2 linked regions of the Macaca mulatta genome follow. The protein of the gene in region 1 interacts with the protein of each later gene in a pairwise test. Links are inferred from orthologs where the notes say so. Each region holds a gene or a part of one and is shown on either strand. Other genes may lie near its edges.

What was found. The genes of interacting proteins can lie anywhere in the genome.
Region 2: the proteins of ZXDC (region 1) and WDR5 interact in binary tests that used the Homo sapiens proteins (3 or more experiments, as listed by UniProt). The link is inferred for Macaca mulatta from reciprocal best matches to the Homo sapiens genes ZXDC and WDR5.

The regions. Positions count from the first base shown.
Region 1 is NC_133407.1:157,499,410-157,506,826, reverse strand, and holds part of ZXDC (zinc finger protein ZXDC), read right to left. Parts: intron 7,188-7,417; coding exon 7,057-7,187; intron 2,502-7,056; coding exon 2,331-2,501; intron 1-2,330. UniProt on the Homo sapiens protein: Cooperates with CIITA to promote transcription of MHC class I and MHC class II genes.
Region 2 is NC_133420.1:8,368,486-8,375,902, forward strand, and holds part of WDR5 (WD repeat-containing protein 5), read right to left. Parts: intron 7,327-7,417; exon of another isoform or gene 7,307-7,326; coding exon 7,185-7,306; intron 6,463-7,184; coding exon 6,354-6,462; intron 5,683-6,353; coding exon 5,609-5,682; intron 5,249-5,608; coding exon 5,159-5,248; intron 4,864-5,158; coding exon 4,774-4,863; intron 4,557-4,773; coding exon 4,473-4,556; intron 1-4,472.

The DNA.
Region 1 (7,417 bases):
CTATTATATTTTATATTTTTAATAATGCAAATCCACAAAAATCTATTCTAGACAAAAAGCAAATCAAATTCAGAATGTATCGTCTTTAGTTGTGATATTACTTCAAAGCTTAAAAAAAAGCATCAATATAGCATCACTTCTTCAATAAATATCCCTTAGTACCAATGAAGCATTTTGAAAGAAAATGGTAGTGATCCTTTGGCGAAATTAAAAATGGAAAACTATGTCAGTTTTTCAAAACTTTCTAAAAACTCCCTTGACTCTCTTGAGGATTCAGCTCCCTGTGAAGAGACCATGAATAATCTCAGTGCAAATGATACCCATTTATTAATAAATTTCCTTATTTAGCACTTTACTAATTCTATAAACATTTACTACTAGAGAGACCACACATGTACAAGGGCCAGATATTAACACAATCACTAAATAAACATTAGTTAGCAGAGCATCTGGCAAAACAGTCATGATCACCACAGTTCAAAGCCCAGCCCCAGCCCTTCTTGCGGGTGTGACCCTGGCAAGTACTTTCTATCTTGGTTTCACCAGTGAGGACCCCACTCCCAGGACCACCGTTAGGGGGACTGAAACAACCCACTGAGGGCATGACATAATCCCACAGTAACCAGGTGTTCTAGTGCCTGTTTTTCACTAGGAGAAATGGTGACACCTGGTCTTCTACCCGACAGCTGGAAGGGGGATGACACACAAGTAAGTCATTGTTGCACAAGAAATTCAAGCCTGGGATACACAAGCTGCTACAGAAGAGGGTCTCACATCCCACTAGAGTTTAAGGAAAGTGCATCTGGTATAACACTGGGCTTCTGCTGACTTCTGAATTGGCCAGGTCAGGAAAGGGGAAGTGTGCCATGAGAGGGAACGGCGGAACAGGGGAGAGGCCTGAGTGATGCAGTCTCATAGAGCTATCAGAGAAAGGGGGCCTGGTCACGTGGGCCTCTGTGAGCAAAGATGACACCCTCCAACATGAATCAGGTGGCACACACATTCCCTGTCCTCAAGACACTACTGAAGCAAGAAGGGCAATTTATTTAAATATAAAGCTGAATGGCAACTGCTGTAAACTGTGAAAGATCAGTGTCCAAGATCCCAAGGAGGGGCTTCATGACCACTTCCAAATAGGATCACAAGAAAGCAAAGGCCACAGACCTGCCCTGAGCCCAACCCCTCATCAAACTCTGTGCGAGGCATGGAGGCCTGTCCCCTGCCAATGCGGCAGCTGTGACACAGCTGCGCCTCAAGGCCAGTGCTCTCCTGTGGTGCTGCTGGTCACACAGTCCACAGGAGGACCCAGTTGGTGACACACACAGCTTCCACGGACTGAGCAGCAGAAGTAACTCTAGGGCTAGCTAGGATGCCATCAACTAGGCCCAGTGAGGAGCGATAACCGCACCAGGCCCTAGAGAGCAGGGCACATGTGCGTGCTCCTCAGAGGGGCCGCCACCACAGCTGCCAGGCACTTCTGCATCCTGCACTGTGGAGAAGGCCTAGTGGGATAGGTTTCCTAGTCCCATGCTGCAAAGCTGCCCAATGACCAGGCACTCACATACTCAGCATTCCCCTTACAGGTCACCCAGCCACCGTCACTTTCCCCTCTAACCCTGCCCTCTCCAGCCCTCACTGCTCCCAGTCCACTCCTGAAACACAATTCTGCTCTGGCCTTTGTTACTTGGAGAGAGAATAGCTGAGGCAGACGGAAACGCAGGAGGGGCAGGTCCAGAATTCAGGACAAAAGTCCCAGTGAGAGACACAGGCTTAGGGGACATATACTAGGGAAAGTCAACAAAGTGAAACATTCTTCCAGGAAAGCATTTCAAAGACACGGGAGGGGCCAGGCATGGTGGCTCATGCCTGTAATTCCAGCACTTTGGGAGGCTGAGGTGGGCAGACTGCTTGAGCCCAGTAGTTCAAAACCAGCCTGAGCAACATAGTAAAACCCTGTCTCTATAAAAAATGCAAAAATTAGCTGGGCATGGTGGTGCATGCCTGTGGGCTCAGCTACTCTGGAGACTGAGGTGGGAGGATCACTTGAGCAGGACCCTGAGGTTCCAGTGAGCCATGATCACACCACTGCACTCCAGCCTGGGTGACAGAGGGACCCTGTCTCAAAAAACAAAAGACATGGGAGGGATTAGAGGGTCAAAAGCAAGAAAGTGGCAGAGAAAGTGCAAAAGAGGCCACTTGGCTTGGCAACCATGGCCACAACCCCACTGCCCGACGACTTCCAAGAGGTGAAGAAGGAACAGACGGCACTGGCACTATTCCTGTTTCTTGCGGGGAAGCAGCTCCCCACGGGGGCCGTGGAAAGTGCAGACCTTGGCGCCGGCTGTGCTGTCTGACCATGTGCGCCTTCATGCTGTGCTTGGAGGTGAAGAGTCTGTTGCAGGTAGAGACCGGGCAACGGCTTTTCGGAGCACCCACATCCTGCACATGTTTCTTAGAGTGAATGTACAGACTGCTACGAGCGGAGAACCTTGCGCAACATCCTGGAACAAAAAGAGTAATGAGTGTGAAACCTGAGGATCACCAAGGAACCAGGAACAAGTGACACTTCCTCATCAGATCAGAACCACCAGACCTGCATTTTGCACCCTGGCTACTGGCAAGGACAGAAACCAAATATCTCTAGGAGTAGCATCACAAGCAATTCAAGTCAAAAGCAAACTTTTTAAAAAGCAAGAGATACAGTGAAACCCGTAGGGAGATTTGAAGTCCTACCTCAGCTATGTCTAAGCAACCTCTGTGCCTGTTTCTTCACCCACTACATGGAGATGTTGGGAAGATTAAGTCAAATTAAGTATTAACTGCTTAAACAATCAGTTGCAAACAATTTATTCTAGTCATCTCGATTAAGCTATTACCATAAAAAATGTAATCCTAGGATGATATTTAGAGCTGGAAACTATCTCAACAGATCACCAAAGCCAGTCCTTTCACTTTCCCACTGAGACACTGGATGCCCAGGGAGACTGAGCGGGTGTCCTGGAGCCCAGAGCTGGCATCTCCTTGCTTACACTCCCAATCCACTTATGACTCTGATCTGCACACAGGCATCAGAGGAAAAACAAGACACATTCAAAGTTATAGTCACCTCCCCTCCGTGCCCTGGCTTTCCACTACGCTGGCGCTCTGCCCCATACGGGTGCAGGGAGAAGACGTGGAGCTCTTGGTGGCCAGAGACCTGCACCCGGCAGGGGCAAGTAGAATAGCCAGCTGCTTCAACAAAGGGCAGTAAGTCAGTGCCAACACTGAAGCATGCGAGCGGCAGAGGAAACCGCACACCTCCCAAGAAGGCAGAAAAGTGGTCTCAGGAGTATACAGCATTTGAGGTGACTGGGCCACTGTGCAGCAAAGCAGATGGTGCTCCTGCCGAAAAAGCTGCCCAGCCAAGGTATGGGGGCATGAAGGGCAGCTGTGCAGGCACCCCAGCCTGGGTTCCAGTTCAACCTCTTACCAGCAGTGTGGCCTTAGACAAATTATTTATCCTTTGCGGGTCTCCTTTTTCTGTTCTGTGAAATGGGAATGACACCTGCTTCTCAGGGGTGCTGAGGGCCCAATAAAGCCATACCTGTCTACAGAGCCTCTGCATGGACCTAAGCAAGTGGAGCGAGCAACGACGCACTCGCAGCACCTTCTCAGGACGGTGGGGCGGTACTGCTGGAGCCCAGCACCTGGAGGAGGGATATTTTAAGGAAAGAGGCTATGAAGATAGGATACGGCCAGATGAGTAAGGGCCTTGGCTGCCTGTGAATGTAGTTTTCAACTACATTTTTCATTTTCTAATACAGCTGCAAACTCATTTCCAGGTCAGGCTCATCAAAGACCATCTGGGAAACACAGGAGATGGTCCGACGGCCCAGGCTTGCCCTGCAAATGCACAGTTTCCTCCGCATGCCCTGCTCACCATGGTACACAGGGTACCCTGGAACCCTCTTTCCCAGCTGGGGGTCCTGAGCACGGATTTCTAGAGACAGGTCACAGAGCAGAGCCTCTAAGCACATCTTCTGTAAAATGCCTTCCCAATGGCAGGGCCACGCTACAACAGGACCCTTGCACACTCTTGCCAGCACTGGGTTTCCATTTTTTAAAGTATTTGCTAATTCCATAGGCAAAAATATATTTCATTTTGGTTTGTATTTCCTGTGACAACCAGGAATGTAATCATTTCTCCATGTGTACTAACTGCTGGCTTTTCCAAATTCTGCCCATATATTGAGATCTGCGTCCATTCTTTACAAATCCAAGCTGCAACCAGGGAGAGGCAGAAGCAGCCATTACTGATAGACCTGTCTGCAAGCTGCATTCAGAGGACAGTGAGGCGCTCATGTGGATGGCCAGGCAAGCACGAGGCTCAGCAACACACGAGACACAGGCCCCAGCAACACACAGCCCCGAGGCTGTCATGATGCCACCCAGTGCCTGCCCTCAGACAGACTTCTGGTCTGTGGTCCTGTCCTTTCCTCCTCCTCCTGTTACTATAAAAAAGGTAGTTTTGCCTTTTACTTTTTATTATACAACAGTTCAAACATCTACCAAAGTGGAAAAAATGGTATCATCAGTCCCAACTATTGCCCAACCCCAAGAATGATCAACTCTCAGTCCAGCTGAGAAGAGGTCCTGGGCTCCTCCCACTAGCTCCAACTCCATCTCCACATGCTGCCCACACCACGTGGGGAGTGCCCCCTTTCTCTCCCAGCAGAACACCTACACTTGCTGGAAGAAACAGAGCTCTACAGAAATAAATGCCCCATCCTCCACAGCCAACTCCCACCTTTCCCCTTTCCCCAGTCACCTCTGGTGGAAGTGTCAGCACAAACCATCCCCGTCTCCCACTCAGGCCACCTCTCAGGGCATCAGAGCAGGACTCTGCCTGAGTGACCCCGCGGAACCTCATCCATCAACACACCAAGACAACCCCGCAGGTGGCACTGAGGCATGTCTTCCCTGGTCCTGGCTCACCCTAGCACTCAAGGTGACCCCCACTTTCACACATCCCCTCTCACCTCAGCACCACCCCCTCTGTGCTCTTGCTGGTCCTGCCAGTACCCGTCCCAGCCACTCCACTGGAATCGGGGGCAGCCCCAGGGCTCTGTCCTAGGTCCTTTTTAAGAAAATCTAACAGCAATCATAACAACAGTAAACTGACATATGTACTGATGTTTTCCATATGCTCTAAACTTACTAACCAATCCAGCCTTCGCCAACAACCCTGGGAGGTTTTACTCACTTTACAGACGAGGAAGAGGCACAGAGAGCTTCAAGTGTTTGTCCAAGGTCCCAGAGCTACTTACGAGGCAGACTTGGGACTCGAATCCAGGCAGTGTGACTCCAGAATTCAGGTTTTTGATCAACTACACTACCCTGCCTCTCCTCCATTTATACTCTTCCTTGAGAATTTCATCCACTTTTGTGGCTTAAATGACGACTTGGGTGCTGTCTGCTTCGCTCCCTGCCTGGTCTACTCTCCTCAGCGCCAGCGGCACATCCCCTGCCCTTTGTGCATTAGATGCACAAAGGTACCAAAAACACAACATGTCCAAACTAAACTCTGTTTCCTCCAAATCCACTCAGCTGAGACACTGACCTCAACTAAAATCCAAATCCATCACCGTATATTGTGACTTCTAACTCCCACCTCTGCCATCGATGCCACTTTCTCTTTTCCCACCATTAACGCCCCCATCCAGGCCATCCCACCTCCCCACACCCTTGGCTGCTTTCCTTCCTGAAGTCAGACTGAGCCACAACTCAAACATGATCACATCATACACTCACCCAAACACTCAAGCCTGCCACTCATGGCCCTGAGAGGCTCTCCCAGGCCATTCCACCCCCAACACCCACACGCACATGTCTGGTGCTCTTTCCCCTTCTTCAGCTGACTGTGAGGCCATTCTCATCCCGAAGAGCAGTCTGGGGAAACCCTCTGTGTCCCTGCAGCACCCTACATGTTACCTGTTCCCCTGTCTGCACCTCCAGCTAAAACCCTGACGGAAGAAGGAACTGTATATACGTTCACTTGTATATATGTTCACTATGTTCTAAGAGCTAGTCTCAGCTTTAAATGGGTCTTTAATATTCTCTCTTTCATATAAGGAAACCAAGGCCCAAAGAAGCAGCTTGCCTGAGGTCACCACTTTAGGGAGCAGTAGAGCCAGACTTTGAATCCATGACCACCCAACATGCCCTGGCTCACTGCCTCCCAGTGCACCTGCAGAACTAGAGTAGGGCCAGCACGCATAGGTCATGCAGCCAATTTCTGGCAAATGAACTAAGGCTTCAGTGTTTTAAAGGAAGAAACCTCTCTACTATCCCTTTTAAAAAGTCAGGTTGGGTGCAGTGGCTCACACCTGTAATCCCAGCACTTTGGGAGGCCAAAGTGGGTGGATCACTTGAGGTCAGGAGTTTGAGATCAGCCTGGCCAACATGGTGAAACCGTCTCTACTAAAAACATAAAAATCAGCCAAGCGTGGTGGCGCACGCCTGTAGTCCTAGCTACTCAGGAGGCTGAGGCATAAGAATCACTTAAACCTGGGAAGCAGAGGTTGCAATGAGCCAAGATTGCGCCATTGCACTATAGCCTGGGCGACAAAGCAAGACTCTGTCTCAAAAATTAAAACAAACAAACAAAAAAGTCAGTCTAGCTTTATTGCTATGCAATTACAAAATGATTGGAGCGACCATTCAAACGTGATCTCAAAAGTACCTACAATTTACTGAGTCCGAGCTCCACGCCAGATGGATAAACAGGCATTTTCCACGTTTCACCTAATCCTCATGACCACCAAATTAAACAGGTAACTTAACTAGAGCCACAGATCTAGTGAGGATCAGGGCCATGAGTCAAACCATGTCTGATTCTCAAGTCACTACTCCCAAAATAGTACAATTAACTCAATGAGGTAACTAAACACAACGCCACAACTTATATTGAGTCAGTCTTTAAGCAGCTAACATTTACCTTCAAACAATGGAAACTTAACAAGATAAATGTTGGCCTGGTACTTAGTTTACTGCTCAAAGCAATGTTTTAAAATCTACCTTCCACAGGACACTCGAATGGCTTTGTGCCTAGGTGGGTTATGCTGTGGCCTTTCAGATGCTCTGCTCTCGTGAACGATTTCCCACAGCCTTCGACAGGGCAGGTAAACCTCCGGTCATCATCATGTTTCCTGCCAGATAGAAAAATAAAGGAGCTGTGATTCCTCATACAACTCACCGTGATTCTTTGTTTAAAATTCTACAAAATATACCAAAATACAAACTTTACATTTACAAAAATCAGTAGTACATTTCAGAAAATCTTTACTCTGTCTTTAATCCATGTGAGAAGATTTGCAATTTAGCTACCCCATAGTTAAAAATTCTACCTTAATGACTAAGCAGACCCCAGAGTCACACA
Region 2 (7,417 bases), on another chromosome or scaffold:
ATGGTGTAAACCCGGGAGGCGGAGGTTGCAGTGAGCTGAGATCCGGCCACTGCAGTCCAGCCTGGGTAATAGAGCGAGACTCCGTCTCAAAAAAAAAAAAAAGTCTTTTCTTGAGACCATTACGATGGATGGTAATAAGACAAAACAAGTCCCCAAAACTCACAAGGCCAACTCCATGCTTTGCTTTGTTCAGCTTCTTAACCACATTCCAATACTACCCACTGGCAAACATGGCCCAGCTCTGCCATTCCATCCACATTCAGGTGCAAGGGGCAATACAGCCCATCCCCTGCATTCTAGCAGAAGGCTGCCAGAAGAGTTCAGTGCTAGGAAGTAGATAAGAGAGGCCGGACACGGTGGCTCACGCCTGTAATTCCAGCACTTTGGGAAATCGAGGTGGGCGGAACACTTGAGGCCAGGAGTTCGAGACCAGCCTGGCCAACATGGTGAAACTCTGGCTCTACAAAAAAATACAAAACTTAACCAGGCGTGGCATGAACCTGTAGTACCAGCTACTCAGGGGAGCTGAGGCAGGAGAATCACTTGAACCCAGGAGGTGGAGGAGGCAGTGAGCCAAGATCACGCCACTGCACTCCAGCCTGGGCAACAGAGTAAGACCCCGTGCCCAAAAAGAAAAAAAAAAAAAAAGACCCAGCACTTAGGGAGGCCGAGGCGGGCAAATCACGAGGTCAGGAGATCAAGACCATCCCGGCTAACACAGTGACACCCTGTCTCTATAAAAACTACAAAAAAAATTAGCCAGGCGCGGTGGGGGGCGCCTGTAGTCCCAGCTACTCGGGAGGCTGAGGCAGGAGAATGGCGTGAACCCGGAAGGTGGAGCCAAGATCATGCCACTGCACTCCAGCCTGGGCAATAGAGCGAGACTCCGTCTCAATAAATAAAAAAATAAGTATTAAAACAAAAAGGAAATAGATAAGGAAATCAGCCAGAACCCAGCAGGGGATGGCAAGGCCCCTAGCCAAGGAGCACTCCAAGGGCTCTGTGGAGTCCACCTGGGCAGACAAGCAGTAGCAGAAGCTCCAGGGCAGGAAAAACACAGGTCCCAGGTGCAACGAGGGCGCGAGGGCTGTGGCTGACGGCGGTTGGCAGCGACCCTCAGCTGAGGAGCCCTGGCCAGAGAGGGCAAACCCTGGCCAGAGATGGGACAGGGATGGGAGGCAGTAAGCAGGGGGCCACGTGCCTCAAAGTCTCTAAAGCTCCAAAATGTACCTATCAAAAAGCTAAACACATATCCTGACTACTGCATTTCCCCTCCAAAGTCATCCTTCACAAACTGCCACAGATGCAAACAGGATGTTCGCTGCACTCCTTTTTGTTCAAGTGAGAATTACACATAAGCACCCACTGAGAGGACTGGCACAGTCCCTGCTCACACAGCAGGCCCACACCAGCAGTCCAAGAGTATAGATGTGCGCAGACATCAAAGGTGCCCCAGGACAGACACGGTGGCTCCCGCCTGTAATCCTAGCACTTTGGGAGGACCAGGCGGGTGGATCACTTGAGGTCAGGAGATCGAGACCAGCCTGGCCAACATGGTGAAACCCTGTCTCTACTAAAAATACAAAAATTGCCAGGCGCAGTGGCTCAAGCCTGTAATCCCAGCACTTTGGGAGGCCGAGACGGGTGGATCACGAGGTCAGGAGATCGAGACCATCCTGGCGAACACGGTGAAACCCCGTCTCTACTAAAAAATACAAAAAACTAGCCGGGCGAGATGGCGGGTGCCTGTAGTCCCAGTTACTTGGGAGGCTGAGGCAGGAGAATGGCGTAAACCCGGGAGGCGGAGCTTGCAGTGAGCTGAGATCCGGCCACTGCACTCCAGCCCGGGTGACAGAGCGAGACTCCGTCTCAAAAAAAAAAAAAAAAAAAAAAAAAAAAAAAAAATTAGTCAGTCGTGGTAGTGGGCACCTGTAATCCCAGCTATTCGGGAGGCTGAGGCAGGAGAATCACTTGAACCCAGGAGGCAGAGGTTGCGGTGAGCCAAGATCGCACCACTGCACTCCAGCCTGGGCAACAGAGTGAGACTCCATCTCAAAAAAAAAAAGAAAAAACAAAGCCCCCACAAACCTCTCTGCAGTGGAGACGGCTACAGAGCAGCAGCTGTGGTGCAGTACCAGTTACTTAAAGGACAGCAGTGAGCTACGCTGGAAAAGACGCACCTAAAACAGCAAAGTAGAAGACCACAGAGGGACCGACTCCACCTCCCAGCAGCTGACCCCAGGGGTGACTCAGGGAATTCATTTTCTACTTCCTACATTTGCTCACCTTTGTAGGTTTTTTTGTTTTGTTTTGTTTTTTTTGTTTTTTTGTTTTTTTTTTTTTTTGAGATGGAGTCTCGCTGTGTCGCCCAGGCTGGAGTGCAGTGGCCAGATCTCAGCTCACTGCAAGCTCTGCCTCCCGGGTTTTTACGCCATTCTCCTGCCTCAGCCTCCCGAGTAGCCGGGACTACAGGCGCCCGCCACCTCGCCCGGCTAGTTTTTTTTTGTATTTTTTTAGTAGAGACGGGGTTTCACCGTGTTAGCCAGGATGGTCTCGAACTCCTGACCTCGTGATCCGCCCGTCTCGGCCTCCCAAAGTGCTGGGATTACAGGCTTGAGCCACCGCGCCCGGCCTTTTTTTTTTTTTAAGACATGGGGTCCCACTCTGTCACCCAGGCTGGAGTGCAGTGGTACCATCTTGCTCACCAGAGCCTCAAACTCCTGAGCCCAAGCAATCCTCCCACCCTGTCCTCCCAAGTAGCTGGGACCACACGTGCACACCACCACGTCTGGCTAATTTTTTGCTTTTTGTATAGAGACAGGGTCTCACTCTGTTGTCCAGGCTGGTCTCAAACCCCTGGTCTCACGGGATCCTCCTGCCTCAGCCACCCAAAGTGCTGGAGTTACAGGTGGGAGCCATGGCACCCAACCTGTTTTTGTTTTTGTCTTTTTATGAGCAAACTACTTTTGTAGGAAAAAGACTTTTAAAATCCTGCCTATCACCTGCGAGTCCCACCTGCACTATCTTTGGCCTCTAGGATGCTCATGGAATTCTTTCTTCCAACTCAAAGGCCACCAGCGAACCCCTTTCTCAGGTTACTTCACAAGTGTTCATTTGTCAGCCCAGTCTGAAAGTCAGTTCCGCTGACTGTGACCCAAGGTGCCCTGAAGGGCAGGGGACTGGCACCAAGGGGCTGGGCCCACGAGCACACAGCCACAAGCACAGGGCCACATGATGACATTCCCACAGCAAACAGCCTCCCTGCAGCGGTGACACTGGGCCTGCGAGGGCCTTGTGGCCCGGTTATGTGCGGGGCTCAGACACCGCACCCCGCCCTGGCCTGACACACTACCCATCCAGCCAGTACCAGGGCTTCGCCTGCCATCTCACTCGGGCAAAGCCTTGCAAGGGTAAAAATGCTTAAACCCATTCACCACCAAGACAACAGAAAATGAATGCCACACTGGCGGGCAGCATGGCACAAACGCTGCATCCACCTTTCCTTCTGCTTCTCAACGAAGGGCAGGCTTCGCCGAGAAACTGCCTCATGCACTTTGTTAACAGAAGAACCTTCTGGCCACTCTGAAATGGAGCGGTTTGTGATACTGCATACACTTTAACTCTCGGCCATTTGTTCTTGTTTTCTTCTTTTTAGACGGAGTTTCGCTCTTGTTGCCCAGGCTGGAGTGCAGTGGCACGATCTCAGCTCACTGCAACCTCTGCCTCCCAGGTTCAAGCGAGTCTCCTGCCTCAGTCTCCCCAGGAGCTGGGATTACAGGCGCTCACTACCACGCCCAGCTAATTTTCATAGTTTTAGTAGAGACGGGGTTTCACCATGTTGGTCGGGCTGGTCTCAAACTTCTGACCTCAAGTGATCCACCCACCTCGGCCTCCTAAAGTGCTAAGATTACAGGCGTGAGCCACCATGCTCGGCCTCTCGGTCATTTGTTTTGCACAGTGGTACAGCAACAGCAGAATGGCAGGATGTGTTCCTTTGCAAAGCCTGTTCTCCAGAGAGCTCCAGCTTCCAACTGTTCCCACCAGGACTGGGCCATCCCCGCCCAGAGCTAACTCCACTCAAAACTCACACTTCACCTACACTCCCACTCCCAGCACCCTTCTCAGCCTGGCCGCCCTTCCTGTCCCATGCATCAGTTCAGGGTACACTACCCTCTGAACGCCTGTGGCCACTGCCCACCCCCCATCCAGCCTGCACGAAAGGCCCCTTGGTGCTCACCACAGGGCACCCCACTGACACCTCACCACCCCCTTGCCATCCCTCTACTGCACACAGGACTCATCTCTCAGGTCCCAGCCTCCAACCTGATTGCTCTAGACTGTGGCATGACAGCAGGAATCAGATAGGCACAGGCAACGTCCAGGCTTACGCCCCTCGGGGAGACAGCTGGCCACATCCAGCATCAGAGGCACGTAGTGCCGGACACCACCCCGTCTGTGTCAGCAGGACTTACGGCCGAGACTGGATCCGAGTGAGCTGGCAAAGTCTTGAGGCACTTCCCTGTTTTCACATCCCATATCCTCACACTTTCATCAAACTGAACACAAAAGAAGAAATGACAGTGATTCTACAGGAAGGAGAAGGAGCAAACCTCCCCGGAACCCAAGACCTGCCACCAGTCCATCCTCCCCACAAACAGCACAGAAAGGACTCGGGCCCCACCTGCCTTCTCCACAGTGGCTACAAGCAAGTTCAACAGCCTTCCCAACATCCAACACCACCTCCCCCAGGGAAGACACCCCGGCCACACTCACGGATCCTGAGACAATAAGGTTGGACTGGGGATTGAAGTTACAGCAAAAGACATAATTACTGTGTCCCTTCAGGGTTTTCAAACACTTCCCCTAAAACAAGAGTATTAGTAGTATTACTCCAGTGCTTATTTCCCCAAACATAAGTGTCGGATCACATTCATCAATGCCTGACAGCTCAGAGCATGCCTGATGCCCCGCCAGCAACTGGCTGTTCCCCGAAGTCAACTCGACCTCCCCCACCCGCCCCCGCCCCGTGCCCCTGCAGCCAGTCTTCCCTGGAGAGGAGCACTGAGTGCTGCTTACCGAGCAGTCAACCCAGTCCCCACCACCCGCCCTGTGCCCCGCTGCCGGTCTCCCCTGGAGAGGAGCGCTGAGTGTTGCTTACCGAGCTCACGTCCCATATCTTCAAGGTTTTGTCATCTGAGGCGGAAACAAGAAGGTTAGAATCTGACGACCAGGCTACATCGGATATTCCCTTGGGGAGAAAAAACAGGGTCAGTAACTTGCCAGGACAAAGTAGGACCGGTTAGCAAAAGGTCAAAATCCCAAACATCTCCATTGCCCTCAGGAAATCTTCTCACTAGCCTTAACCTTACAAAAGACACGCGGCCCTGGAGGAAAACAGCAGGCTTTCCACAGCTCTGCCAGCCTCACAGACACTCCTCCGTGGGAAGTCAAATGTATTTGCGTTAAAAGTTCAAGATGCAAATAACTCTAAAAAAACAACGTGGAAATTTAAATCTGAACCCACAGCTCTCGAAGCAGCCCTGACCCCTTGATCACTAGGAGCCACCCTGTTCAACAGTCAACATTACCGCACGGGGCTGAAACCTACCAGCTTGTGGCCAGATATGGTTTTCTCAAATTTCCCATCATACGCGCCCCAAATTTTAATGAGTTTATCAGCGGCTGAAAGAAAACAAAAGGATCTGAGGCTAAGAGCAAGACACAGTTGTCCAGTCATCCAGAATCCAAAGTCTGGGCTTTTCCCACATGAGCCCCAGATGATCAGCATGAACCACATGGCTCAGAACCCATTCCGCACGGCCACATCCCCGAGAGGACCAGTCCCCTTCCCCTCCCTCCAAGGGCCCACGGGCAACTTCTTCTATTTCTTTTTTCGTTTTTTTGAGACGGAGTCTCGTTCTGTCACCCAGGCTGGAGTGGAGTGGCATGATGTCGGCTCACCGCAACCTCCACCTTCCGGGTTCAAGTGATTCTCCTGCCTCAGCCTCCCAAAAGCTGGGACTACAGGCATGTGCCACCATGCCTGGCTAATTTTTTTTTTGTATTTTTAGTAGAGACGGGGTTTCACCATATTGGCCAGGCTGCTCTCAAACTCCTGACCCTGTGATCCACCCGCCTCAGCCTCCCAAAGGGCTGAGATTACAGGTGTGAGCCACCACGCCCAGCCCCCACGGGCAATTTCAATCGGCACTAAGGTGACAGTTCTAGGAGGAGACACGCCCACCTGCTACAGCCCCCCAGCGGCAGGTGAGGAAACCAGCCACCCCCAGCCGGTTTGTTGTCTGCAGCTCAGACCGCCTTTCCCAGCAGCTAAGGACCTCAGTGCTACGTACATGAACTTGCCAGCCACTCTCCATTCGGGCTGAATTTCACAGAGGACACTGCTTTGGTGTGGCCAGCAAGGGTGAACTTTAGAGCATAGTTTGGCTTCACGGGTGTAGGCTGCGGGAGAGACCAGTTAGCGAAAAGTTACCACCACTGTGCGTTCCACTCGTGACCAGTTTGGATTGTGACTCCAGCATTTAATTTCGGCTCAGATCTTTAGAGCTCCAAATCCACATGCCCAGTGCCTTCCACCAATCCCTATGTGGACGTCACCTTTCAAGTGGAACACATCTGAATCTGAGCCCACTACTTCCCCACAAGACCTCTTCTGTAGTCCCCAAACTCCGTACCAACAGCACCAGCCGAGCCAGAAACATCTGAGGCCCCCTCAATGTATCACCCCACCTCAAGCCCACCTCTGATCCTGCTACAACACAGGAGGCCCCCACCAGCTCCAGCCTTGGTCCAGCGTCCCACTGCCCCCACCCCACACATACCCGAGGCCCTGCTCCCTTTGCTAAAGGTCTACAGGAGGGCTTGCAGATCTGCCTGTGCCTCAGGATCGCAGCCGGGGTGGGGGCAACTATGGAGAGATTTTTTCTGGGTCCTAGAGACTCTCACAATCAGGACCGAGAATCTGTTCCCTCCTCCAGGTGACAGACTGGGGATTCCTGGCACAGCAGGTAACAAGCACTCATTAGGTATGTGGTCAGTAAATCAAAATTAGCAGTGACATTTAACTGAGTAGGGAAGACAAGGCTTATGAGCTTGAAACGTTTCCAAGAATCTCTAAGCATATTTGCCCCCGGAAGGCGCCCAAGGAGCCCCTGGGCACGCACCTTGCTCTGAGTGGCGGATGACGAAGGGGTTGGCTGTGCTCTGGCAGCCTCGGTCTCGGGCTTCTTCTCCTCCGTTGCCATGGCTCTGATGCTGGCCGCACAAGGAACGTGGACGGAGGGACCTGGTGACAGAGGTAGTCTGCTGAGATGCAGAACAGGAAGCCAAGAAACAAACCATATTTTTAAAAATTGATTTCCAGGAAAAAGGACGAAAAGAAAAACATTTGAGTACC